Macaca mulatta: one gene and its partners. The main gene of each other region encodes a partner of the protein of the gene in region 3 in a complex. Links are inferred from orthologs where the notes say so. Each region holds a gene or a part of one and is shown on either strand. Other genes may lie near its edges. The genes, in order: ARMC7, RBM48, GPKOW, RBMX2, CRIPT, PPIL2 and SF3B5.

Region 1 (4,067 bases), on a different chromosome or scaffold from region 3:
TGTTTTTTTAACACAAGTGACTCCAATTAGATTAACAACTTTTGCATTCTCAGGACACTCACAGCCTAAGCCACCTCTCTACCCCTACGTTGTCAAACGCGATGGGAGTGTAGTAAGGCCACCTCCTTCCCTGGTGCTTTGTTCCCTGTAACCACGAGTAGTAATCCATCACACACCTGCTTCCCGAGAATCCTCGAGAAGGAATCGGCCGAAGGGCTTCAGCATCCAGAAAGCCCCGAAAGCGCCACAAACAAGGCTCTTCCTCCGGCTCCCCGGTGCTGCCCCGGGCGCGCGCCATCCACCCGGCTGACAAAAAGCACCAGGACATGACCCCGTCCCCTTTGATTTCTGTCCAGAGGTGGCGGACTCACCTCGGGGCTGGGATAGAGGACGGGTCGGGGTCGCTACGCTTTTTGCAAAAGGGTCAAAAGACTGATGGGGGTGGGTAAGGAGCTGACGCCCGCGCTCTAAAGGGGCGCCCCGCCAGCCATGGGGATCCTGGAGGTGCTTCTGCCTCGACGTCCTCCCAACATGGGTGCTGCCAGACTCCGTTGCGCTCCTGAGTTGCTCCTCACGTCATTCCAGCCGCCCGACATGGGTGCCTCACTTTCGGCTTCTGGGCCACGTCGGGGCGGCGGAGGACCCGGGGGGCCGGGCGGGAGAGTGGGAAAGGTGGGGCGGGAAAGCCGAGAGAGGCCCTCACCCGCCTTCCTGTTGGCGGGGGCGGCAAGTGGGTTTCTTTCTTGCGTTCAGATTTTGCAATAATTTGCAGCTGGACATAGGATATGGGAGACAAGGCTGCTCCTCGCAGTACACCCACCCACGCCCATACCTCCCTCGGCGAAGCGTGTCGCAGCGGGTTCCAGCGCAGGCTAAAGAGCTTCCGCAGCCAGAAAACCGAAAGCGCGCCGCGCACGCGCGCCAAGGAGTTCGGCGACGGCCCCGCCCTTCGCCTGCCTCGTCCCGCCCCTTCCGCGCCTTGTAGGGTGGGGACAGCGCGGCTTCCGCCGGGAGCCTGGAACCGAGCCCGGCAGCCGGGGGCTGGGCGCCAGTACCCACTCCGCCAGCCCCAGCCCGCAGACGGTTCCCTGTCTCCCGCGCCCCAATTTCGATTTTCAGACCCAACTCCTACAGGATTCTGAGACCCCGGCCCATCTCCCCACATTCCATTTCCAGCTGCAAATTACTGCAGAGTCTGAACCCAAGAAAGAAACCCGTTTGCCGTCCCCGCGTCTTCCCTCGCCAGACAGGTGGAGAGTGGGTGAGGGTCTCGCTCGGCTTTCCCCCTGCACCTTTCCCACCCGCCCGCCCGTCCCTGGGGGTCCTCCGTCACGCCGGCCATGGCCCAGAAGCCGAAGTTGGACCCCCACGTCGGGCGTTTGGGATACCTGCAGGCGCTGGTCACGGAATTCCAGGAGACCCAGAGCCAAGGTGAGAGCCACGGTGGGACCAGGTGACAGGGTCGGCTGTGACCGCCGCCCGGACCTGGCTCCAGTGCCGCTTTCCCGTTGCAGACGCCAAGGAGCAAGTCCTCGCCAACCTCGCCAACTTCGCTTATGACCCCAGCAACTACGAGTATCTGCGGCAGCTGCAGGTCCTGGATTTATTTCTCGATTCGCTGTCGGAGGAGAACGAGACCCTGGTGGAGTTTGCTATTGGTAAGGGCTGGGCCCGTTCGCTAGATGGCTAAATGGGCCGGGGTGAGGTAAGTGAGTTACAAGTGAGTCCTTGGGGCCTGGCGTGGTGGCTCACACATGTAATCCCAGCACTTTGGGAAGCCGAGGCGGGGGGATCACCTGAGGTCAGGAGTTCGAGACCAGCCTGGCCAACATGGCAAAACCTCGTCTCTACTAAAAGTACAAAAATTAGCTGGGCATGGTGGCGAGTGCCTGTAATCCCAGCTAAGCGGGAGCAAAAATTAGCCGCACACAGTGGTGTGCACCTGTAGGCCCAGCTACTCTGGAGGCCGAAGCAGGAGGATTGCTTGAGTCCGGGAGGCAGAGGCCAAAGTGAGCTGAGACTGCGCCACTGCACTCCAGCCTGGGCGACGGAGTGAGACCATGTCTCAAAAAAAGATGTTTTAAAAAGAGCAGTTTTGTAGCCAGGCGCGGTGGCACACGCCTGTAATCCCAGCACTTTGGGAGCCCGAGGCAGGCGGATCACCTGAGATCAGGAGTTCGAGACCAGTCTGGCCAACATGATGAAACCCCGTCTCTAACTAAAAATACAAAAATTAGCCGGGCGTGGCGGGCGCCTGTAATCCCAGCTACTCGGGAGGCTGAGGCAGGAGAATCACTTGAACCCGGTAGGCAGAGGTTGCTGTGAGCCGAGATGGCGCCACTGCACCCCAGCCTGGGCAACAGCGAGACTCCGTCTCAAAAAAAAAAACAACAACAATTTCAGGTGGGTGAGGTGGCTCACACCTGTAATGTCAGCACTTTGGGCGGCCGAAGCAGGCAGATCACTTGAGTCCCGGAGTTCAAGACCGGCCTGGCAAAAGCCCATCTCTGCTAAAAAAAAAAAAAAAAAAAAAAAAATTAGTCTGGCGTGGTGTCCCAGCTACTCAGGAGGCTGAGGTGGGAGGATTGCTTGAGCCTGGAGGACGAGGCTGCAGTGAGCTGGGATTGGGCCACTGTACTCCAGCCTGGGTGACAGAACGAGAATCTGTCTTAGAAACAAAAGTAACTCATATTTAGTGTTTTCATATCAGGAGAAGCAGAGATGGCTTGCAGTCTGTAACTTACGGCTTCTTTTGTAGTTATGATCTTAAGACCTATTGATTTATTCACTGGGCAGATATTTACTGGGCATGTACCGTATATGTAAACTACTGCTCTAAATGCTGGAGTATGGTGAACAAGTTAGGGGAAGTGTTTGCCCCTCAGGAGCTTACATTCTAGTAGGGGGGACAGGTGGTTAGCAAACAAAAAAGATGATGCTCAGCAGCAAATAAATGGGGTGATGAGAAACAGCAGTAGAAGGTGGTGGTTACTTCTGTTTTGGCCATCATGAGAAAGGCATTTTAGCAGGGACACAGCATGGGCAAAGGCCTTAAAACAGGAAGGAGCCAGAAGGAAGATGAATGTGGCAGGATCGTTATAGTGAAGTGGAGAATGGCACAAAAAGAGGATAGAGAGTTAAGCAGCACCAGAGCTTGCCGGAGCTTAGATCTAGGCCGTGGGAAATAGTTTGAAGCAGACAAAATTTTGAGAACAAACAAAAATCCCTTTTTCAAGCCATGCACAGTGCTCATCTGTAGCCCCAGATAGGAGGATCGCTTGAGCCCAGGAGTTTGAGGCTGTAGTGTGCTACGATTGCATGATTGCACCTGTAAATAGCCACCGCACTCCAGCCTGGGCAACACGCGCGTGATCACCTGGCTGAAGTCTTGTCAGGCTTCTCCACTGTAAAATTACTCTTTCTTTCCCCTCTTTACGTATTATGTATTATACCCATTGGAAGGAAGTCACTACATAAATTATCTTAAATCTTTTTCTTTTTTTTGAGATAGGGTCTCACTGTGTCACTTAGGCTGGAGTACAGTGGTGTGATCATAGTTCACCATAAATTTAAACTTCTGGGCTCTAGCAGTCTTCCTGCCTTAGCCTCCCGAGTAGCTGTGACTACAGGTGGACACCACCATGCCCGGCTTTTTTTTGTTTTTAATTTGTTTTCGAGAGGATCTCACTGTGTTGCCCAGACTGGTCTCGAACTCGGCTTTTTTTTTTTTTTTTTTTAATTTGTTGTCGACACACGGTCTCACCGTCTTGCCCAGACTGGTCTTGAACTCCTGGCCCCAAGAGATAAATCGCTTGTAACCCTAAACAGACCCTCATTTCATAACACTGATTCTTGAAGGCCCCAACCAGGAATGCAAATGTTCCCCCTTCCGGTTTGTCTCATTGCCTCTTTGTGGTTTGTTTCTTTATCCCCTTTATTTCCTATAATCTAGAAATTGGGTTGAAAGTCTTGATAGGATCAAGTAACACATTTTATTTTATTTTATTTTATTTATTTATTTATTTATTTATTTTTTGAGACGGAGTTCGCTCTGTCGCCCAGGCTGG
Region 2 (4,004 bases), on a different chromosome or scaffold from region 3:
AGGATTTATGAAGATTTCAAATACGCCGTCCTTTTGCCCCCATAACCACACTCAAACTCGTGAGACCATGTGCCTCTATTTTTAATTACGAAAATAAGGACGCTGTATCTCCACCGGTGGTTAGAACTGCGAAACATCCCAACCACAACGTCCAGAAGGGCGACTGATCGCAGAGCTTCAAGTGATCTTAACTACGTTATGTGTTCCTGACACACTACAGCTGTGTTCCGAGGGTCTGGGACGCAGGGCAGAACCATTACTGTATTAAGCTTTCCCGCTCATGGGACGCGGTGCTCAGTCCCCGGGGACCGACAGGGGCTCCACCAACAACTCTGCGCCTCCCTCTCGCGGCCCGGACGGCAGCAGCGCAGGTAACTGGAAATGACTGGCAAGAAAAGCACCTTTTAAAATAACAAAAACAAACCACTTATCAGGAACTTTTCCAGCCTGGAATGAGGAATATTTATAAAAACAGTGGTAGAATATTAGGACATTTCTAGGCCCAGTTTCACCAAGTGAAAAGACCTGGGATAAGACGAGCCCAGGGCTGCACTGGACTTGCGGGATGCAGAGACTAACCAGAAGGGCCCTGCCGTCGAGGGACCCTAATCTCTGTACGCTTCGGGGGCGCCCGGGTGGCAGCCGGTGTCCCGCCGCGTCCCTGAGAGGCTTCGGCCTTGTCCGACCCCAGGCTGAAGATCAGGTGGCCCGGGGCCAGCACGTTACCTGCAGCAGGTGCAGCTGGGCCACGAGACCCCGCGGCAGGTGGAGGAAGCAGTCGCGAGCGTTGGTGAAGGCCACAGTCACTGCCGCCCCGCCTCCCCCAGCACCCGCCAGGCGATCGCTGCCCCACATCGTCCCGAAGCGTCGCTCTGGGTTTGCCCACCCTAGCGCCGCAAAGGACACGGGACCTGGCAGGCCGAGGACGTCGGAACCGGAGGAGATCGATCGGCCCCGCCCCCTGAGGCCCCGCCCCCTCTCCCCGCTGCGCGTCTCGCCGTAAGCCTGTAGTGGGGTGGGACAAGAAAGCTTCTGTCACCCACCGCGCCTCTCCGCCAAGCCGCTCGGGGGCGGCACCTCGTTCATCAAATCCTCGCACGCAGGAAACGATGGCCGACGCTGTCGATTCTTCAGCCAATCCTGACACTCCTTAACTCATCCCGCTCTCTTATTGGATAAAAGGGAGGTCAGCAGGGCGGATGTTGTCCTCCCTGCGAGGATCAAAGTAGGCAAGATGGCGTCCAGCGGTGGGGAGTTAGGGAGTTTATTTGACCACCACGTCCAGAGGGCGGTGTGCGACACGCGGGCCAAATATCGGGAGGGACGACGGCCTCGTGCTGTCAAGGTAAAGTGATTTTTGGTTTCATTCGCTCTCCTCGGTAGCTTTTTGTGAGCGCTAGCGCCATATGGCTAACCTACGGAAATAAAGGCACGACAAGGCTTCCGTCAGATCTGTCGCTCATTAGAGCTGGCGTGAAGAACCCTGGGCCAGGTACCAAAGATTCTCACGACCCTTTTGGTCAACTATTAGAACATCAACTCCACGAGAATAGGGCTTGGTTTTAGTCATTGGATCTTCAGTGTTTACAGTACTACTTGGCACAGGTAAGCGCTCAGTGAATATTCGTTGAGTGATTGTTCCCAGTGACTTCTGCCGACTCAATTTCTGGAAAAAAATGTCGACTGAAGGTAGTCTGTTATATGCCTTAGGTAGCCTCTCACATGGACTGTTACTCTTTATGCAGAGGGAATGGCAGAAATTTTATTTTGTGTTTTTTGCTGACTGGGTTGAACAGATTATTTCTTGTTTTCAAAGTTCTGTTTAAAAAAAAAAATAGAGGCAGATTCGTCCTAGGCTTATTTGCGAAATACGTTTAATAACTATGCATTTCTTTCAGGTATATACAATCAATTTGGAATCTCAGTACTTATTAATACAAGGAGTTCCTGCTGTGGGAGTCATGAAGGAATTAGTTGAGCGATTCGCTTTATATGGTGCAATTGAACAGTACAATGCGCTAGATGAATACCCAGCAGAAGACTTTACTGAAGTTTATCTTATTAAATTTATGAACTTACAAAGTGCAAGGTAAGGTGCAAGTTAAGCAATGACTCGTTTCATTTCCTCCATTCATATTTCTGTCATTTTGGCCCCAAGTTTCCCTCATTCATATCTGAATTACCCCAAAATGTAATCTAGCATATCTTCCTACAGCCTTTTTACAGGTTAACTTTACTGAAACACTGTATCCATCACATCCCATGCTTAACAATTTAATGTCCTGTAGCGTGGTAGAGTAAAAGTTGGGTTTGGCCAGGCACGGTGGCTTACGCCTGCAATCACAGCACTCTGGGAGGCCGAGGCAGGCGGATCACGAGGTGAGGAGTTTGAGACCAGCCTGGCCAACATGGTGAAACCCCGTCTCTACTAAAAATACAAAATTAGCCGGGTCTAGTGGCGCATACCTGTAATCCCAGCTACTCAGGAGGCTGAGGCAGGAGAATTGCTTGAACCCAGGAGGCAGAGGTTGCAGTGAGCCGAGATTGCGCCATTGCACTCCAGCCAGGGCAACAAGAGGGGATCTCCGCCTCAAAGAAAAAAAAAATGGGTTTGAGGGCTGGGCGCCAATAACTCACGCCTCACGCCTGTAATCAGAGTACTTTGGGAGACCGAGGCAGGCAGATCACTTGAGGTCAGGGGTTCAAGACCAGCCTGGCCAACATGATGGAAACCCCGGCTCTACTAAAAATACAAAAATTAGCTGGGTGTGGTGGTGCAGACCCGTAGTCCCAGCTACTCAGGTGGCTGAGGCATGGGAATCGCTTGAACCCGGGAGGTGGAGATTGCAGTGAGCAGAAATCACACCACTGCACTCCAGCCTGGATGACAGAGCGAGGCTCTGTCTCAAAAAAAAAAAAAAAAAACAGAAAAAATTTGGGTTTGGCGCCAGGCATGTGGCTCACACCTGTAATCCCAGCAGTTTGGGAGGTGGAGGTAGGCGGATCACCTGAGGTCAGGAGTTCAAGACCAGTCTGGCCAACATGGTGAAACCCTGACTCTACTAAATACAAAAATTAGCTGTGTTGGTGCAAGCCTTTAATCCCAGCTCCTGGGGAGGCTGAGGCACAAGGATCACTTGAACCCAGAAAGTAGAGGTTGCAGTGAGCCAAGATCATGCCATTGCACTCCAGCCTGGAAAGAGTGAGACTGTCCCAGAAAAAAAGAAAAGAAAAGAAAAAAAAGTTGAATTTGATCCCAGCACTATGGAAGGCCAAGGTGGGCAGACAGCTTGAGCCCAGGAGTTCGAGACCCGACTGGCCAACATGGCAAAACCTCACCTCTGCTAAAAATACAAAAATCAAGGTGGGCGTGGTAGTGCATTCCTGTAGTCCCAGCTACTTGGGAGGCTGAGGTGGGAGAATCAGTTGAGCCCAGGAGGTGGAGGTTGCAGTGAGTCATTTATGGACCACTGCACTCCATCTTGGGTGATGGAGTGAGACTATGTCTCAAAAGAAAAAAAAATGTTGGGTTTGGAGTAAGTTTTCCATTTCCACTGCTTACTAGCTTTGTGATCTTGGACAAGTTATTTAACCTGTTTAAGTTTTTCCTGTTCCGTAAAATCTATATGGTAAAGGGACCTATCTACTTCTTGAGGTTGTATGAGGATGAAATGAGATAATCCATATAAAGGGTTTAGCAGAGTGCCTCCTGGTCAGAATACAGTAAGCATTAGCTATTGTGGTTTCTACTGTTACTCCTTTCTGCAAATTGACTCAGTGTTTTCCGGCCTTCTATGTGACATAAACCCTCTGCTCCAAAAAGGCTGAAGTATGCAATGCCTTATCTATTTTTATGTTGATCTCTGTTCTCCTCACTAATCTGCTCTGAGACCCATCCTTCTCTGGCTGTTACAATTCATATTTTCTTTCATGTGCTATCAGTAGAAATCATAATCTACCACAAAAGCACTTGATTTTACTGGGTCATGTGTGGTTTTCTCAGG
Region 3 (3,500 bases):
CTGGGCAACAGAGCAAGACTTCATCTCAAGAAAAAAAAAAAAAAAAAAGAAAACCTTGGAGTCATCCTCAATTCCCCTCTTTATTTCATGCCCCATACACTCTGCCAGCACAATCCTTCATCTTTTTTCAAAATGACACCCAGAACTGACCACTTCTCACCGCCACGAGCATCTCTCATCTGGACTATTAGAGTAATTTCCTCACTGGTCCCTCTTATGGCTCCCACCTGGCTCAGGGTCCTCTGACTCCTGCCCAGCTCTCCTGATTTGATCTCTTCCCCACCCTTCTCTGCTCTCTACTCTCACTATCTCCATTTCAGTCATGGTGACTTTTACCCCTCACACATACCAAGCCTTGTCCAGCCTCAGGGCCTTTGCTGTAACTGTGCTTTCAGCTCGGGACACTTTCTTCTCATATCCTCATGGCTCCCTCTGCTATCATTTCCTGATCTCTGCTTAAATGTCAACCCAGAGGCACTCCCTCTCCATCCCTCTGCATCTTCTTACCCTGCTTTCTTGTTCTATACGTCACCACCTGACATATCATGTTTTCTGGGTTTTATTTATAGTATGTCTCCACAACTAGATCAGAAGCTCTGCAAGGGTAGGGGTTTTTGTCTGTTTGGTTCACAGCTTCATCCCCAGTACCTAGAACAGTACTTGCCATAGACTAGGTGCTTTCTATTTGTTGAAGGACTGAACATGGAGGAGTACAGTGAGGGATGGAAAGAGGAAATCAAAACACCCTTGAGCTGATTGGAAAAGATGCGTAGCAGGTCTCCCAGTGGGTGGCAGCAAGTGCACTTCAAACAGAGGACCCAGTGTAAGCAAAGCCTGACCCTCCTTCCTCTACCTGAACCTGTAGGTGCCAGAGGAGGCTAATTATGAGGCGGTCCCCGTGGAGGCCTATGGGCTGGCCATGCTGCGGGGCATGGGCTGGAAACCTGGCGAGGGCATCGGCCGCACCTTCAATCAGTGAGTTCTGGGATAGGGGCGAGGGGACAGACAGATCAGGCTGCAATCAAGATCCCCAGGGTCACTGCCAAACCAGAACCACTCCAGGCAGGGAGGGAGGATACATTATCGCCCTAACTAATTCAGTAGCCCCTTCCACTACTGTTTTAAACTCCCATTTGCCCTTTGAAACTCTAATAGGATCCCATTTATATAAAGTCTGCCTCTAGGGACATCAATTTCTTCATCTGAAAAATGGGGGTAATAGTACTGACTTCACAGGTCTGTTGTGAGAGTTAAATGAAATTATACACATAGGCCAGGTAGTGGCTCATGCCTGTAATCCCAGCATTTTGGGAGACTGAGGCAGGAGGATCACTTAACCCCAGGAGTTTGAGACTGGCCTGGGCAACATAGGGAGGCCCCATCTCTACAAAAGATTAATTCATTTTAAGAAAAGAAATTAGGCCGGGCGCGGTGGATCAAGCCTGTAATCCCAGCACTTTGGGAGGCCGACAAGGGCGGATCACGAGGTCAGGAGATTGAGACCATCCTGGCTAACAGGGTGAAACCCCGTCTCTACTAAAAAATACAAAAAACTAGCCGGGCAAGGTGGCGGGCGCCTGTAGTCCCAGCTACTCCGGAGGCTGAGGCAGGAGAATGGCGTAAACCCGGGAGGCGGAGCTTGCAGTGAGCTGAGATCCGGCCACTGCTCTCCAGCCTGGGCTACAGAGCGAGACTCCGTCTCAAAAAAAAAAAGAAAGAAATTAGAGCCAGGCGCAGTGCCTTGTGCCTGTAATCCCAGCACTTTGGGAGGCTGAGGCGGGTGGATCACAAGGTCTGGAGATCAAGACCATCCTGGCTAACACGGTGAAAGCCCATCTCTACTAAAAAAAAAATACAAAAAATTAGCCGGGCATGGTGGCGGGCGCCTGTAGTCCCAGCTACTCAGGAGGCTGAGGCAGGAGAATGGCGTGAACCCAGGAGGTGGAGCTTGTAGTGAACCGAAATCGCACCACTGCACTCCAGCCTGGGCGACAGAGTGACACGCCATCTCAAAAAAAAAAAAACAAAAAAGATAAACTATATACGTAAAGCACATACAGTAGGCCCTGACCCCAAGAAAGCGTAGACTAAACATTTGCTATTGTCATGCAGACTTACAACCCTTTCTTCGCAATTGCAAACTCAAGAATTGTGAAAACCAAACATTTTTTTCATAACCCATTGGCAGCCAACTATGACCTGAATTGGCGTTGAGTTTTTTTTTTTTTTTTTTTTTGAGATGGAGTCTCTGTCTGTCACCCAGGCTGGGATGCAGTGGTGCAGTCTCAGCTCGCTGCAACCTCTACCTCCTGAGTTCAAGTGATTCTCCTGCCTCAGCCTCCTGAGTAGCTGAGATTACAGGAATGCACCAGCACGCCTGGTTAATTTTTGTATGTTTAGAAGAGATGAGGTTTCCCCATGTTGGCCAGGCTGGTCTTGAACTCCTGACCTTAGGTGATCTGCCAACCTCAGTCTCCCAAAGTGCTGGGATTACAGGCATGAGCCACCGTGCCCAACCATGTTGAGTTTTTATAGTCCGTTTCTCCTGCTTGGTGTGAATATTCATATGATTTCCCCTGTAGAAATAGTATATTTGGTTACAGTGATCTGCCTCTGATCTCACTGTAGATATTATGTAATAGATGGTATATGCAGCATGTTATTAGGTCGAACCAAATGAAATTGCTGTTTCTGTAGGTCAAAAACAGTCCTAATATGAGATCGGAAAGGGCAACCTTGAAAATACCGATGGGGGCCAGACATGGTGACTCACACCTGTAATCCTAGCACTATGGGAGGCCAAAGAGGGCGGATCAGCTGAGGTCAGGAGTTCGAGACCAGCCTGACCAACATGGTGAAACCCTGTCTCTACTAAAAATACAAAATTAGCCAGGCATGGTGGCATGCTCCTGTAAACCCCAGCAACTTGGGAGGCTGAGGCAGGAGAGTCGCTTGAACCCAGGAGGCGGAGGTTGCATTGAGCCGAGATTGAGCCATTGTACTCCACCCTGGATGGCAAGAGCAAAACTCCGTCTCCAAAAAAAAAAAAGAAAAGAAAAGAAAATGTCAATGGTGGGGGTGGGGGTTTGGGCAGGGAGAGGAGGTAAATAAGGTGTTGAAGACTATTGCATCCTCTCCAACAAACCCATGTTCTCCCTGCAGAGTAGTGAAGCCCCGTGTCAACTCACTGAGGCCCAAGGGGTTAGGGCTGGGTGCCAACCTGTCTGAGGCCCAGGCCTTGACCCCCACCGGCCCCTCCCACATGCCAAGGCCAGATGAGGAGCAAGAGAAGGATAAGGAAGATCAGCCTCAAGGGCTGGTGCCAGGAGGAGCTGTGGTGGTTCTTTCTGGCCCTCACCGAGGCCTCTATGGGAAGGTAAGGAACCAAGATATCCCGGGAGCCCAAAACAGGCAGTAGGGAAGGTTGATCCGAGGGTCAGATGGAGGAATAATTGGGTTTGAGGTAGAAAGGCTGGGAGTCCTAGTCTTTTAGGTCTGCT
Region 4 (4,297 bases), about 88 Mb from region 3:
TGCTGCCCCATAAGTGGCCCAACCACTCAGCCAGGGCCCTCTGTCCATGGATGGCCCTACCATCCTGCCATAGCAATCCCTCTGCCAGTGTATGCTACCTGTGTTTGCTTGGCCAGCCCCTTTTGCCATGGTCTGCTACCTGTACATGCTGTCCAACTTCTCTGAAACAGTACTATGCTCTGAAGGCCTACAAAACCCAAATGTAGTGGTCCTTTGCACCTGTGCCAAGATCCTCTGGCCCTGTGGACTAACTGTGCTGTTTACCTCTGGGGTTGCAGGCCAGCTGCCCAGCCCCTCTCCTACTAGCTGCTACTACCAGTATGAGCCACCAACACCCTCTCCCACCAAATGCTGCTGCCAACACCTCAGCAGAATGAAGAATATACAGATCTCCTATTCATTCTTGTTCCTCGTCAGGCTGTGATTCTCAGCCTCCAGGTAGAGATTGGCTTTGCTCACTAACCTTACATTCATTGAGAATCAAAGAAAGCAAACTACAACCTTCTTTCTGTTTTTCATCCCAATTCCTCTGTGGTTTGCCCCAGTCGTATGATGCCACACAGGCAAGGACCAGAAGGGCCCTGTGACCATGGGTTACCCCTAGTTTGCAAGAGCCCAAGGAGGCGTACCAATATGGAACCTTCCTGAGGGTTCCAGTCTGTTCCAGTCTAGGCCCAGGCTGAACAAACCTCAGTGAAAAACAACAGAAATAGACTAGAATCCCCAAGATGGCCTCCCAAATTAACAAACCTCTTGGATCTCCCACAGGAGAACATTCTAGAACCATGTCCTGGGACTGATCTAGACTAGAGCAGAAGCTCCAGCCCTCCCCATGCAGGGACGCCATTCAGCCTAGAGTGAAAATAAGTGGTTTTTGTGATGCCACAAAATGCATTACAGAAAAAAGTACTCTGTCGACTCAGGAGGCAGGAAATGAAAGGGGACTTACTGTGAGAACACACAGATGATGTCCCCTTCAGTCAGTTCATAAGGAAGCCCTCCTAGAAAAGAAAACCACATTTCAGTTCCACCAACATTTACCAAGTGTTTACTACGTACCATGCACTAGGCCAGGCACTAGGGGTGCAAACAGTAAGCAACAGGCCCTGCCCTTAAAGAAATCAAGTCTGGGCTGGGCACCATGGCTCACGCCTGTAATCCCAGCACTTTGGGAGGCCAAGGCGGGTGGATCACCTGAGGTCAGGAGTTCGAGACCAGCCTGGTCAACATGGCGAAACCCCGTCTCTACTAAAACTACAAAAAAAATTAGCCGGGCGAGGTGGCGGGCACCTGTAATCCCAGCTACTCAGGAGGCTTAAGCAGGAGACTCGCTTGAACCCAGGAGGCAGAGGTTGTAGTGAGCCGAGATCACGTCACTGCACTCCAGCCTGGACAACAAGAGTGAAACTCCAACTCAAAAAAAAAAAAAAAAAAAGAAAGAAAGAAATCAAGTCTGATGCAATGACAGAAGTACATGTAAGGTGCCAGTAGAACAGGAAAAGGAGTGACTAATTTTGAGTGGAAGTCAGTGTCACCACTAACAAAAGTAAACTGATCACTCAGTCCTCCTGGCACCCAAAATCCTATGGGCAAAGCAGATAGTTTCCATCACAAACCTCTGCTTCCACAAACATGTTGAATTCATCTGCTCATTACCCACAAATTTACAGCTATGATACAAAATTAGTCTACATATGTCATGATTAACCCCACCTACACATAGACAAAGGTTATAAAGACACTGTTAAGCATTTCCTAGGGAATAATTTCCCTTCCAAATGTTTCTTTCCTCATCTGTAAGATGGGGATATTAGCAGGTAACTCGCAAGACTGTTATAAGAGTTAAATAAAACGATGCATATAAAGTGCTTAGCACAACGTTTTTACAATAACCTCTTTGAAGCATCAAACTTGTACAATTACTGGTTGTGATATAAAGTGAATACAGTAATGGTAGTGTGGCCATGGTCAGAAAGCAGGAGCTAGAGGAGCAAAGTGAATTCTGCAAGGGAAGGGGAATGGGGGAGGGCGGTGGTAGCAATATGGGGCTGTGGCTAAGACCATGAGTTCTAGAAAGCTATAGTTCTGCCTGTTGCGGTTATTAGCTATGTGACCTTAAGGAAGTCCCTTAACTTCTCTGCACCCCAATTTCCTCAGCTGTAATAACGGGTCAGGGGGTGAGAGAGAAATAACAACAGTCCCTGAACCTTAGCACAGCAAATGGCAAACAGTAACTCTCATGAGCACTGATTTGGCTGGGAAGGAAAACTAAAAATGGGGCAGAAAAAAAAAAAAAAAAAAAAAAGATGGAACACGGATTCCCGGGCAGACAGCAGATGGATATAAAGGAGGGCAATGAATGTAAGCAGGAGTGAAGGGTGAAAATGCTGAAATAGTCGGACACCGAGCAGGAGAATCTTGGGAGCACTGCGGAAGAAAGATGTGCACCTCACCCAGGAAGATCCAGGCGCTGTCCTTGTACTCGGAGTGCCAGGACACTTTATCGGCCACCCCAAGCTGGACCTCTCGTTCATTCAGCTCGTTGATCAGCTTCACCTTAGTTAAAGGACTTCACGGTGGCGGGGGGGAGGGGAGGCAGAAAAGCAGACAAGTAAATGCTAACCGGCCGAAGCTGAAGAAGAGCAAAACAAGGGGACGAGCTGTGCTAGTCCCCGCGCCTCTCCCGCCCCTCGACCCCGCAGACGCTCTACCACCCCAGCCCCGGTAGACCACCCTCAGCGGCCCGCTGCTCGTTCCTCAAAAGGAAGCTGACGCCTTACTTCATCTCCGCGGGCTCGCGCTCAGCATTCAGGAATCAGCGCCCGGGAAAGGCAGCGCCACGCATGCGCGGCCCCGGCGCCGGTGGCTCGTCGAGTCGGTGACCTCGCGCCGGAAGAGCTGGGGCGTACCGGGGCGTGGCGCCTGCGCACTAGAAGCCTTCCGCGTTCTTTGCAGTTACCTCTTGTAGAAACGGTTTTTCTCTAATTTTTCGCTTTTTCTCCTCTGTGAAATGGGGTAAAGGCACGAGCCTGGGCTGTTGCAGGACCCCCAGCTCTTGAACGATATCGGAAACTGGTTAGATTAGCTATAAATATTTGCTGAATGAACGGAATAAGCAGCCTGATGTGGCGACTTTAGTCTCAGCCCTCGCTCCCAGTCCAGAGTCCCACTTGGACCTTCGCTCCTAGTCAGTTGCTCACGCACAGACCCATCAAAGCATCCCTGTCATGGCAGAAAAGTGAAGAAGATAGGTGAAAAGGTAAATCTTCTGTTGTTCTTATCCCAATACATAGGCAACAGACCAGTGTGCCTCTATAGGCTGAATTGAATACCTACAGATTTGCATGAGAGCCGCTGCACTTACTCTTTTCCATAGGCTCTCTCCTAGTTGAGCAGGAGACAGAAATTAATATTGTTAAATTAATAGCTAGCAAGTGAGCAGATGATGTACTGTATGATACTAGAGTATGTGCTAAGCAATTTACATGTATTGTCTCTCCACCCTCACAACAACCCAATGAAGCAGATAAAATTACAATTCCTGGCCGGGCGCAGCAGCTCATGCCTGTAATCCCAGCACTTTGGGAAGCTGAGGTAGGAGGATTGCTTGAACTCAGGAGTTTGAGACCAGCCTGGGCAACATAGCAGAACCTGTCTCTAAAATAAAGGAAAAAGGGGGGGGCCAGGTGTGGTGGCTCACACCTGTCATCCCAACACTTTGGGAGGCTAAGGCAGGTGGATCACCTGAGGTCAGGAGTTCAAGACCTACCCAGCCAACATGGTGAAACTCTGTCTCCTCTAAAAATACAAAAATTAGCTAGGCATGGTGGCACACGCCTGTAATCCCAGCTACTCGGGAGGCTGGGGCAGGAGAATCACTTGAACCTGGGAGGCAAAGGTTGCAGTGAGCTGAGATCGCACCACTGCACTCCACCCTGGGCAGCAGAGCGAGACTCCTTGTTTTAAAAAAAAAAGAAAGAGAAAGTAAAAGAAATTTCCACCCTCGTTTTGTAGAGGAAGAAATGAGGCTCAAATGAATAAATTAACTAGAAAGGTACTAGAGTACCTGCACCCAGTAGGTCAGGTTGATTCAATCAGTCCTTACTGAACATCTAGATTTGTCCTGTGCAGCTAAGGTCTGTAGACAGGAGTATCAGGGTGGGTCCTCTGCCCTCAAGGAGCTAATATTATAATTAAGGGGACAAGATATATTTGCCTGATAGATTTCAACCAGAAATATCTAGAAACCAGTGGAAGAGATGATTAACATATAATATGTGATTTAACCCATATTGAC
Region 5 (4,056 bases), on a different chromosome or scaffold from region 3:
AAAATAGAAATATCTCAGAAAAAAAATACTATACATACACACACACACACACACACATACACGTGGGCGCGCGCGCGGGAGGGGCGCCCGCTAGTGCGAAAAGCAGAAGGGCGAACCTGGGCCTTATCCTAATAGCTCTCATTTAATTCACCCAGTGCTTTTCAAAGGCAGATATTTTACTGATAAGGAAACAAGGCAAACAGGTGAGGTGGTCCAAGGTCCCACGCGCTACAGCTCTCTCTCTAAGGAAATACACTAGGCATGAAGAAGCAAACGGATGGCAAGAAGGGACAAAGGTAAACTTTCCCATAGATTCTCTTAAGCTGATTGAGGGAGGGCAAGGGGATCAGGAATCCATTCTCTCAACAGATAGCCCTTCAGCCATTTTTCTGAGCCACCCTCGGAATCGCAGCTGCCATCAGATGTGGATGTAATACAGTGAGCAGTTACCAAACTCAACCGTTTGCTGAGTGAATGAAGGAACCAAAGTAGGCAAAGTGGGAAACCAACTCTCCTGGGAAACCAGCACCGTGTTAGGCCCTGGCGTGCCCCCAGGGCGCCTGCAGGGGTGCCACGGGCATGACGCGGCCCACCTCCCCAGGCACCGCAGCGGAGAGAAGGCTCTTCAGAGCGGCCCCCAGAGGAGCCTTCACGGGCATCGCCGCACCTCCACCGGCAGCTCCACCCCAACCCTGGTCGCTGGGAATTCTGCCCGACCCTAGGCCGGCGCGAGCGTGGGCAGCGAGGAACCAGCTGAGAAGCAGGATCAAAGAGCTCGGGAGTTGGAGACAAAGAAAAACTGGGGGACAGAGGCAAAAACTCGGATCCGAAAGGGGGTCTGTCCATCAGGGCACGCCGGAAGAGTGGCGCTCGAGCTGACGGCGAGAGCGGGCGGGCCGGGGCGCCGAGGCTCAGGGCTGCTTCGGCAATTCGCGGGGGTGGCTTGCACCCCGGGAGGCGAGAGCGCCTGGGAAGTCCAGCGGGGCTTACCTAACTTTCCCGCCCGCGGAAGGGAAGCGGGGAACTACTGCCTCCCACCATCAGGTACGACAGGAGGCCCAGGCCCACGCGCAGACGCAGGGTTGTGGGGCGGACACCCACGGCCGAACAGCCAGTCGCAGAAAGGGAGGGGCGGGCAAATGGGGCAGCCCCACCTAGCCGCTCGCGTTCATTCCTCCCGCGGCTTTCCAGGTTTGGGGTAGGCGGGAGCGGTGGGCTTAGAAGCCGGAAGTGGATTGACGTAGCCCGGAAGGGGAATACTTCCCAGTTACAGTGTTGATGTTTTCAGGCTCCTGCTGCTCCTGTTGCGGCTAGGGGAACTGTCGTGGGGAAGGATGGTGTGCGAAAAATGTGAGTTAAGGGGCTGCTTCTGCGGGAGGAGGAGGCTGGGATAATCTAACTGAGCCCTCCCGGGAACTTTGCCTTCTCTTTGTTTTTTTCGCCCACAGGTCTCTGATTCTAGCCGCTGTCTTTCTACCCTACCCTTTGACCATTTTTGCACCTCCCCAACGACCATACAGTCCTATGTATTTTGTACTCAGAATGGTCTCAGTTCTGCACCTCCCTCTCTATTTCCATTGCCTTCCCCCAGCCCCAGATCTCATCGGCTCCCCTCCCATATAAAAATGTTCAGTTAAACCCCAGCGACACCTTTCCCTCTTGGCAATTCCTGTCCTTTCCTTTTTATTCGTGTAACAAGTATTGTACTCCTGCCAAATGTTAAACACTGGAACCAAAGACTTAGGACTTTGCCTTATTCATTCTCATTAGTCATTATGCCAGGATATGGCGTAGAGTAAACCCAGAGATGTTTGAATTGAACATCAACGTAAGTGCAAATTATTATTTCCCTAATTTAAATCCTTTAATAAACTCTCAGTGTGCAGAGAATAATTTGGGGATTCTATATTTGGAACCTGACGTTCAGTACCCTCCACACTAAGGCGCCAACTTATTTTTCCAGCTTCATTTTCACTGACCCTCATCCTCTTCACACTTTGACCAAACAAAATACTCTTTGTGCCCATGTGTACTCTAAGCTTTCTATGCCTTTCCTCAGAATGTGTCCTTTATCTAGTTTGCGTTCATCCTCTTTACTCCTTTTTGTTCACAGTCCTGTTGCCACATATTCAAATCCTCTCTCTTGCCTTCTCTCCAAACTTTGTTTTCTTGGATTTCCTTAGCCAGGGTTATTTTTTCCTGCCTGGAATTTCTCCCAGTACTTTAGTTCTCAATTATTATATCTTTTATTTTTTAGCTTACATTTTGTTTGAATGGTTCTTTTTGGGGGGACGGTCTCTGATCCCTCTGAGAATCTGATGAAAACTGTAGCCTCTTGCCAGGAAAAAAAACTGAAAATATAAAAGGTTTGTGTACAACTCCACCTTGTTCACATATCTCTTAAGATCCACCTGGGGAACCCAGGTTACAGATTGCTGTTAAAGAAATTAGTATACTATAATCTCATTAAAATTTTGTCTGATTCATCACTTTTTCTCAGCACTTTGTATAGTTTATACATCATAGATGCTTAGTAAATATTTATGGAACAAATAGACTTATTGGATTTTTTAAAAGTATAAACAAACAGTGAAAGCTTATTATAAGCCATCTTATTATCCTGCGAATTTTACCGACGGTCAGTCATTCATTGCCCACAGTTAATATGAGTCTCAGTTGACTGGCTGCTTTCTCAGCATTAACAGGCTCCTATGGTAATAGCATTGATAGTCGATACCATTGTGAGCCTTAGGCACAATGTAATGCACTTATGAAATAGTAAATTTTAATTTTCCTTTTACTATCTTGTTCTAACAGGTGAAAAGAAACTTGGTACTGTTATCACTCCAGATACATGGAAAGATGGTGCTAGGAATACCACAGGTATTTCTTCTTTTAGAAAATAGGAATTTAACCAAATACTTACTGTGAATTATATTTTAGCTTTTACATTATTTGTACAATGAAATGTTGTATGTTCAAAGTATTTTATCTATTAAATGTTAAAGAATACTGGGTCCCCAAGTGATTTAATATCTTTTATTTAGTTCTCAGTTACTTGTATGGGTTCCCAATATCAGGAGATAGCAAAATTATTAAATGATTGTCAAGTGGTGACAATATCACAGTATTTGATTATCACAGTATTTGATTTGATTCAGCTTATTTAGAGTCTGTTTTTAATTTCCCCACTCTTCTGAGGAGAAATTTTTTTAAATCTTCTGATTTTTATATTCTTGAATAAATAAATGCTTTAACCCATTTTACCTTCATTATCATTAAATCTTTATAATGAAGTATTTACCTTCATTATTATTAAATACATATAGTAAAGTATGTTTTCAAAGCGTAGACAAATAAACATTTTCATTATATTGAAGGTCTATGACACTGAAGTAGTGGCTTCTAGATTTTACACTATATAGAGTAAATATAGACCCATTCCTAAAGTACTCCCTTGAGTCTGAGAAATAAAATGATTGTATTTTATACAAATTTTTACTGTTTCCCTAATAAATGTTTTCTTTTTAAGCAGTGTCTTAATAGCCTACTAAATGAGGATTTAAAAATTAGATACAGACTACTATTTTGGTAGAAAGTCAAAGAATGAACTTCTTAATGTTTTATGTTAAATGTATAGAAATAACCCACTAAAATATCTTTTATTCTGATACAGAAAGTGGTGGGAGAAAGCTGAATGAAAATAAAGCTTTGACTTCAAAAAAAGCAAGGTGGGTAAGAGCATCCATAGACAGATCATATAAATTTCCTTTCTTTTAGTATTAAGTCTGCTGGAGTGAATTTGATGTGCATCATTCCATTTGCAATAAAACATAAAGGTAGGTGGTTCATAGCACTCAGAACCAAGCTATCTGTTACAATCCTGCTGGTTTTACCTTATTCCTCCTTGGCTGTATCAATATATGAAGATATTAGTGTTATTCTCTTACAGTTTCACCAGAAAACATGACTTGTATTTTATCTCCTTCTTAATTATCCTATGAATCAGAGACAGCAGGGAAATGTGGAAAGATGGTAAGCTTTGGAGTCAAACCT
Region 6 (4,283 bases), on a different chromosome or scaffold from region 3:
ACACACACATACATTAAAATTTTAACCCAAGTACGAGTCACATTGCACGTTCTTCTCAGCAACTTGCTTTTTTCCATAAATAAAACACTGAGATGTCTTTACTTCTTGGGATATCTACTTCATTCCTTTAAGCAGTTCCAAAATAGTCCACTGCATGGCTGTACCAGGGGTCGTTTAGCTGTGTTCTCATAGACATTTGTTTCCAGTTTTTTTTTTTTCTTTGAGACAGAGTCTTGTTCTGTCACCCCAGGCTGGAGTACAATGGCACAATCTTGGCTCACTGCAACCTCTGCCTCCTGGGTTCAAGTGATTCTCACTGCCTCAACCTCCTGAGTAGCTGGAACTACAGGCACCCGCCACCACACCCGGCTAATTTTTGTATTTTTAGTAGAGACAGGGTTTTGCAATGTTGGCCAGGCTAGTCTTGAACTCCTGACCTCAAGTGATCCGCTTGCCTCAGCCTCTCCAAGTGCCGGGATTACAGGTGTGAGCCACCACGTCCGTCCAGACATGTTAAATTTGAGATCAGCGGCTACCCAAGTGGAGATCAGGAACCTGGAGTACTGGTGACTTAGTATTGGGAGTCATGGGATATAAATGGCGTTTAAAATTAGGAGCCTAGGCAAGATTACCCCGGGCCTGAGTGTAGTTGGGGGCCCAAGGTACTGTTCTGACCCAAGGCAAGAGTCTGGCAGAAGAGAAGGAAGGGATCAGGCAGGGTTTTGGACCTCTAGGCTTGATGGCCACCTGCTGCTGGGCCTCCAAGGGGCCTGGAGGCGGTGCGGACGGAATATGCAGAGAGAATGAGAAGTGAGCGAGTAGAACGAGGGTGGTACATGGCTTTGAAGGAGTCGGCCACGGAGGCGGGAAAGGATGGGGTGGAGGCTCATGAGACTTGAAGCTCTAGGAGGACATTGAAAAAGACCTGAGCGCTGGCCGGGCGCGGAGGCTCAGGCCTGTAATCCCAGCACTTTGGGAGGCCAAGGCGGGAGGACTGCTTGAGCTCAAGAGCTCCAGACCAGCCTGGGCAAAATAGTAAGAGCTTGTCTCTACAAAAAATTAACATATTAGCCGGGTGTGGTGGCGCGTGCCCGTAGCTACTCGGGAGGCTGAGGTGGGAGAATCGCTTGAGCCTGGGAGGTCGAGGCTGTAGTGAGCTGTGATTGCGCCACTGCACTCCAACCTGGGCGACAGAGCGAGATCCTGTCTCGAAAATAAAATAAGACCTGAGAACCCAGTATGGGAATGGCCCTGAGCCGTGGCTGAGGGGGGCAGGCGAGGCGGTCGGGAGAGACCCTTCGAGAAGATGGGGCTTCGAGGCTGAGGGAGCTCTGCCCCGAGAAGGCGCCAGCGAGACACAACACACCTAGCTAGGACCCCATACTGGGCAGGCGATCCTTCCGAGCATGCGCACCTGGCGCTAGCGAACCACAATTCCCAGCACGCCAAGCGCCTGTTTCCGGGGCGAGCCGCGGAACCCGGAAGTGGTCACGAAACTCGGCCGTGGCTCCATGGTCTGAGTGGTCAGCGGTTGCTTTTTCGTGCTAGGTAGTTGCCGCCGCCGCCGCGCCGCCATGGGGAAGCGACAGCACCAGAAGGACAAGATGTAAGTTGAGTCGCAGTCGGGAGTGGCGCTCCGCTCTGCCTCAGTAAACCGCCTGTCCCGCCCTGCTCGCCGCTCGCCTTCCCTCTCAGCTGGTCCCCAGAGCCCAGCCCAAAAGTCACTTCCTCCCGGAAGCTGCCACCGTCTCTCCAGTCAGGGTAATGACCCTCGGGCCGCCGCGCTCTCCCAGGGGGCCGCGGCTCCGAAGACGTCAGCTGCGGGCTCGAGCGCAGCCCGGTCTTTCTTTACTCTAGTTCTGCCCGGACCGTGCCCCGTCTGCTCGCGAGCTTTGCCCCTGTAGTCTCTCCCTCTTCCGTACTTCGCGTCTGGCTGTGTTCTGGTTCATGCCTATCAGCCTGCACACGTGCTGCAGAGCCTTCCTATTTAAAGCAAACCAGGCCGGGCGCGGTGGCTCACCTGTAATCCCAGCACTTTGGGAGGCTGAGGCGGGCGGATCACCTGAGGTCAGGAGTTCAAGACCAGCCTGGCCACCATGATGAAACCCCGTCTCTACCCAAAACACAAAAATTAGCGGGGCGTGGTGGCGGGCGCCTGTAATCCTAGCTACTCGGGAGGCTGAGGCAGGAGAATCGCTTGAACCCGGGAGGCGGAGATTGCCGTGAGCCGAGATCGTGTCACTGCACTCCAGCCTGGGCGACAGAGCCAGACTCTGTCTCAAAAATAATAAATAAAATAAAACAAAAAAATCCGCCTATGCCCCGTGCCCCGCGTTCCCCTCCTGCTGCCGCCGTGATTTCAGAACAAGTTAGAGACCCGTGGCTTCATGCTGTTTTCTGAGTCTCTTGAAACCACTCAAGTCAGAATTTCGATCCCAGAACTGCCCCTTGTCAGGTTGCCAGCGACTTCTTGTTGCTAACTCTAGTATTCAATCCTCAGTCCTCGTGTTTTTTTTGAGACGGAGTTTCGCTCTTGTTGCCCATGCTGGGGAGTGCAGTGGTGCGATCTCGGCTTTCCGCAACCCCCGCTTCCCAGGTTCAAGCGATTCTCCTGCTTCAGCCTCCCGAATAGCTGGGATTACAGGCATGTGCCCCCAGGCCCGGCTAATTTTGTATTTTTAGTAGAGAAGGGGGTTTCTCCATGTTGGTCAGGCTGGTCTCGAACTCCGATCTCAGGTGATCCGCCCGCCTTGGCCTCCCAAAGTACTGGGATTATAGGCGAGCCACCGCGCCAGGCAGCCTCAGTCCTCATTTTGTTGGGGTTCTCAACAGTATGTCACACTGTTAACCACTCCCTCCTTCTGAAGCCCTCCTTTGGTATCTGAGATTTCCTGTGCTCTTTGTTTTCCATCGACTTCAGCGGCCTCTCTTTTCCCAGCCTCCTTTCTGGACCCTCCTCCCTTTTCTCAGATCTCATAGGTTTCTTTTCCATAAACATTCTCTGTGAGTGATATAATTTCCCAGTCATCTATAAGCTGCTTTCCCCAGTCTTGTGTAGTTAGTGGCTTACTTGATATCTCCACTGGAGGACTGATAAACATCTCAATTTTTTTTTTTTTTTTTTTTTTTTTTTTTTTTTTGAGACGGGAGTCTCAGGCTGTTGCCCAGGCTGGAGTGCAGTGGCGCGATCTCGGCTCACTGCAAGCTCCGCCTCCTGGGTTCACGCCATTCTCCTGCCTCAGCCTCCTGAGTAGCTGGGACTACAGGCGCCCGCCACCGCGCCCGGCTAATTTTTTGTATTTTTAGTAGAGACGGGGTTTCACTGTGGTCTCGATCTCCTGACCTCGTGATCCGCCCGTCTCGGCCTCCCAAAGTGCTGGGATTACAGGCTTGAGCCACCGCGCCCGGCCTCAATTTTTTTTTTTTTTGAGATGGAGTCTTGCTGTGTTGCCCAGGCTGGAGTGCAATGGTGCGATCTTGGCTCACTGCAACCTCTACTTCCCAGATTCAAGCGATTCTCCCACCTCCGCCTCCCCAGTAGCTGAGATTACAGGCGCCTGCCACCATGCCCGGCTAATTTTTGTATTTTTAGTAGAGACAGGTTTCACCATGTTGGCCAGGCTGGTATCAAACTCCTGACCTCGGGTGATCCACACGCCTCTGCCTCCCAAAGTGCTGGGATTACAGGCATGAGCCACCGTGCCCTCAAATTTAATATGCCTTAAACAGAACTCTTGATTTTCAGCTCCTGAGCCTGCTCCTCCCTGTAAGCTAAAAATAAAATCCTAAATCCCCTTACTGGCTGAGCAGACACCCTTGTGCCTAAGAGAACTCCAGGAAAACCTTAAAACTGAGTTCCTGGCCATGATGCGATGGAGGTCAGCTGTACCTTGTTATATCTTCCTCCCTTTTGTGGCCCAGACACAACAACTGACTGGCATTAACGTTGAAATAGAGATCATAAAGGGGCCCGGCGCGGTGGCTCGCACCTGTAATCCCAGCACTTTGGGAGGCTGAGGTGGTGGATCATGAGGTCAGGAGATCGAGACCATCCTGGTTAACATGGTGAAACCCCGTCTCTACTAAAAATACAAAAAAAAAAAAAATTAGCCGAGCGTGGTGGCTAATTTTTAATAAAAATAAAGAAATAGAAATAAGATTGATGAAACAGACTCTTTGTGGCAATAAGATACCAAATTATAAATAGAACCTATAGTCATGCCAGACAACTTCCCTGGTTAAGTTACCCACCCCTACGCCTAAAGAATAAACTATATCCTTTT
Region 7 (2,345 bases), on a different chromosome or scaffold from region 3:
TTATTACGTCTACAGTGTTTGACCTCCTTTCTCCACCACCAGCATAATGTAAGCCTCAAGAACATGGGAAAATGCCTGTCACATAGAGCTCAACAAATATTTGTTGAATATAGAAAGGATGAACTCACTTGCCAGCTTGTCATTTCTGGAGACATGGCCACAAATTCCCAAGAAAAAGAAAGGATGCATTTTAAAGAGGCTAAGGAGGACAATGACAGCAAAGACTGCAAAGACTTTTAAAACGGGAGAAAAAGAAAATGGGATACAATAACTACAAACTTCAATACTGAAGGCATTGTGGGCCTGAAAATAACGCTCTTGGGAGAAGTGGCAGTCGGGGAATTAATTATAATGGTAGACAGGGTGGATTTAAGTACCTGATCATGGACACTGGCATGCACTCCCTCCCCCGACCCATTTCCCGCTCGGGTCTTTCAGGAGCCCTCCACCCTAACACAGGAAGTTCACACCAAGAGACTTAATGATTTCTAAACTTTATGGAAAAAGCCAATGACAATCAATTAGCCAAAAATGAGACGCCAAATCCCATCTCATTCCAGCGCCACGCCCTCTTCTCAAACGCTTGCCGGCTCTAGGCCCTCTTCACCAGCACAGTTCTCAGGAGTTCTGCTGGTCTCCCAGTGCTATTCCAAAGGGTTCACATGAAGGCAGGTCAGGCGGGATTCCCCGGGCAAGCACTTCTGTACGCGGAAGTACCAGACGCAGGAGCCATGGAGAGCCGGTCCTTTGGAGGCAGAAATAGTCGAAGGGATTGGCCAACCTGAGGAACACTGGGAGAGGTGCCCCGCACAGTGGTGGTAAGGCAGAGTCTCAGTTCTCCTCGGGCTTGTCGGCTGGCGGTCCACAAGGCTGAAGCATCTTCTCCATCAAATTGAAGCGGACTCGCGCTTTGCTCTCATTCTCTGCAATGGCGAAGTAGTTGAGAAGGTCGAAGTGGCCCATGTAGGAGCAGTACGAGTCGCGGTGTTGGTTCACCAGCCACTCCCACTTGGTGGTGTCGGCGTGGCCCGTGCCGATGTACTTGGACTGCAGGTGCTCCAGCTGGCTGTGGATGGTGTAGCGGTCCGTCATCTCGCCGCTTTCCCCTTAGTTCCCAGGACAGAGGACGCAGACAACAAACCGCCGCTCTGGCGTTTCACGCGGGAGTGAGGCCACCGTGCGGAAGCTCCAGGCCCGCGCCGTCGCAGAAGAATGGCGTCACGACGACTAAGTAGCGTAAGTCTCGCTCATAGGGCTCAAAGGCGGAAGCGGAAGCACATTCTGTCACGGAATTGGAGTTGCCGAGGCGACGCCACAAGTGTGTCGCCCCTGTAGAGAGCCCCGCCCCGTCAGAGAGCGTTGCATGATGGTCCACTTGGTGGCTATGGGAAGCCCTTTTCCAACAGGGAGCCTTGCATGCTGGGACTTGTGGTCTTGGGAGTTCGTGCTCGTAGTCTTCTGGAACTCCTGGTCTCGTTTTGTTGTTTGAGACAGAGACTCGCACTGTTGCCGGGACTGCAGTGTAATGGCGCGATCTCGATTCACTGCAACTTAACGCCTCCTGGGTTCACGCGATTCTCCTGCCTCAGCCTCTCCAGTAGCTGGGATTACAGGCGCACACCACCACGCCAGGCCAATTTTTTTTTTTTTTTTTTTTTTTGTATTTTTAGTAGAGATGGGGTTTCACTGTCTTTGCCTGGCTGATCTCGAACTCCTGATTTCGTGATCCTCCCTCCTCGGTCTTCCAAAATTCTGGGATTACAGGCGTGAGCCACTGCGCCAGGCCCCTGGTCGCGTTTTAAAAGTGATCTGGGGACCTAGTGGAGGGTGATGTCTGGGAGGTGGGGAGCATCCGTGGGTGGCTTGGGGCTGATGGGAAATGGGAAACCCAAGTAGGACTGGACTACAAGCAGCCCCGAAAATAAACTCTCCGTGTTTTCCAAAGCTATCATGGTAGCACAGCCATCCCTTCACAACCAGGGATGGATTACCCAGAAGTCGGCAGGCACAAGTTCTGGTCCCAGCTATGTCTTTTAGGAGTCTGTGGCATAAAAGAGTTATTTCAGCTCTAACCAGGGTGCTTGGTGAGCAAGTACAGCACCAATTCCCACACATTCCGGCTTCCACCTCAAGCTCCTCCTTCCCCTCTAGCCACTTATTTTGATATCCTTCCTCCAAGGCCTCACTGCACCCTACTTGGCCCTTCCATTCAGTGGGTTTTGTGGATTCAACCGACCCGATTGAAAATATTTGGGGAAAAAGTCAGTCTGTACTGAAGTGTAGACTTTTTAAGGTTATTATTCCCTAAACAATACAGTATAACAACTATTTACATAGCATTTACA

The links.
Region 1: GPKOW (region 3) and ARMC7 share a complex: the UniProt entries of both Homo sapiens proteins name them as parts of the minor spliceosome. The link is inferred for Macaca mulatta from reciprocal best matches to the Homo sapiens genes GPKOW and ARMC7.
Region 2: GPKOW (region 3) and RBM48 share a complex: the UniProt entries of both Homo sapiens proteins name them as parts of the minor spliceosome. The link is inferred for Macaca mulatta from reciprocal best matches to the Homo sapiens genes GPKOW and RBM48.
Region 4: GPKOW (region 3) and RBMX2 share a complex: the UniProt entries of both Homo sapiens proteins name them as parts of the minor spliceosome. The link is inferred for Macaca mulatta from reciprocal best matches to the Homo sapiens genes GPKOW and RBMX2.
Region 5: GPKOW (region 3) and CRIPT share a complex: the UniProt entries of both Homo sapiens proteins name them as parts of the minor spliceosome. The link is inferred for Macaca mulatta from reciprocal best matches to the Homo sapiens genes GPKOW and CRIPT.
Region 6: GPKOW (region 3) and PPIL2 share a complex: the UniProt entries of both Homo sapiens proteins name them as parts of the minor spliceosome. The link is inferred for Macaca mulatta from reciprocal best matches to the Homo sapiens genes GPKOW and PPIL2.
Region 7: GPKOW (region 3) and SF3B5 share a complex: the UniProt entries of both Homo sapiens proteins name them as parts of the minor spliceosome. The link is inferred for Macaca mulatta from reciprocal best matches to the Homo sapiens genes GPKOW and SF3B5.

The regions. Positions count from the first base shown.
Region 1 is NC_133421.1:84,791,365-84,795,431, forward strand, and holds the start of ARMC7 (armadillo repeat-containing protein 7), read left to right. Parts: upstream 1-1,267; 5' UTR 1,268-1,340; coding exon 1,341-1,431; intron 1,432-1,514; coding exon 1,515-1,658; coding exon of another isoform or gene 1,659-1,690; exon of another isoform or gene 1,691-2,062; intron 2,063-2,363; exon of another isoform or gene 2,364-2,397; intron 2,398-4,067. UniProt on the Homo sapiens protein: As a component of the minor spliceosome, involved in the splicing of U12-type introns in pre-mRNAs.
Region 2 is NC_133408.1:126,862,844-126,866,847, reverse strand, and holds the start of RBM48 (RNA-binding protein 48), read left to right. Parts: upstream 1-1,204; 5' UTR 1,205-1,234; coding exon 1,235-1,345; intron 1,346-1,898; coding exon 1,899-2,089; intron 2,090-4,004. Other genes in the region: peroxisomal ATPase PEX1, read right to left, coding at 727-855. UniProt on the Homo sapiens protein: As a component of the minor spliceosome, involved in the splicing of U12-type introns in pre-mRNAs.
Region 3 is NC_133426.1:49,201,149-49,204,648, reverse strand, and holds part of GPKOW (G-patch domain and KOW motifs-containing protein), read left to right. Parts: intron 1-865; coding exon 866-975; intron 976-3,162; coding exon 3,163-3,376; intron 3,377-3,500. UniProt on the Homo sapiens protein: RNA-binding protein involved in pre-mRNA splicing. As a component of the minor spliceosome, involved in the splicing of U12-type introns in pre-mRNAs.
Region 4 is NC_133426.1:136,863,367-136,867,663, reverse strand, and holds the start of RBMX2 (RNA-binding motif protein, X-linked 2), read right to left. Parts: upstream 2,801-4,297; 5' UTR 2,786-2,800; coding exon 2,781-2,785; intron 2,570-2,780; coding exon 2,454-2,569; intron 1,002-2,453; coding exon 950-1,001; intron 1-949. UniProt on the Homo sapiens protein: Involved in pre-mRNA splicing as component of the activated spliceosome. As a component of the minor spliceosome, involved in the splicing of U12-type introns in pre-mRNAs.
Region 5 is NC_133418.1:78,216,525-78,220,580, reverse strand, and holds the start of CRIPT (cysteine-rich PDZ-binding protein), read left to right. Parts: upstream 1-1,256; 5' UTR 1,257-1,334; coding exon 1,335-1,350; intron 1,351-2,817; coding exon 2,818-2,883; intron 2,884-3,676; coding exon 3,677-3,731; intron 3,732-4,056. UniProt on the Homo sapiens protein: As a component of the minor spliceosome, involved in the splicing of U12-type introns in pre-mRNAs. Involved in the cytoskeletal anchoring of DLG4 in excitatory synapses.
Region 6 is NC_133415.1:31,327,311-31,331,593, reverse strand, and holds the start of PPIL2 (RING-type E3 ubiquitin-protein ligase PPIL2), read left to right. Parts: upstream 1-1,483; 5' UTR 1,484-1,574; coding exon 1,575-1,606; exon of another isoform or gene 1,607-1,649; intron 1,650-4,283. UniProt on the Homo sapiens protein: Has a ubiquitin-protein ligase activity acting as an E3 ubiquitin protein ligase or as an ubiquitin-ubiquitin ligase promoting elongation of ubiquitin chains on substrates.
Region 7 is NC_133409.1:49,348,244-49,350,588, forward strand, and holds SF3B5 (splicing factor 3B subunit 5), read right to left. Parts: upstream 1,194-2,345; 5' UTR 1,093-1,193; coding exon 832-1,092; 3' UTR 501-831; downstream 1-500. UniProt on the Homo sapiens protein: Component of the 17S U2 SnRNP complex of the spliceosome, a large ribonucleoprotein complex that removes introns from transcribed pre-mRNAs.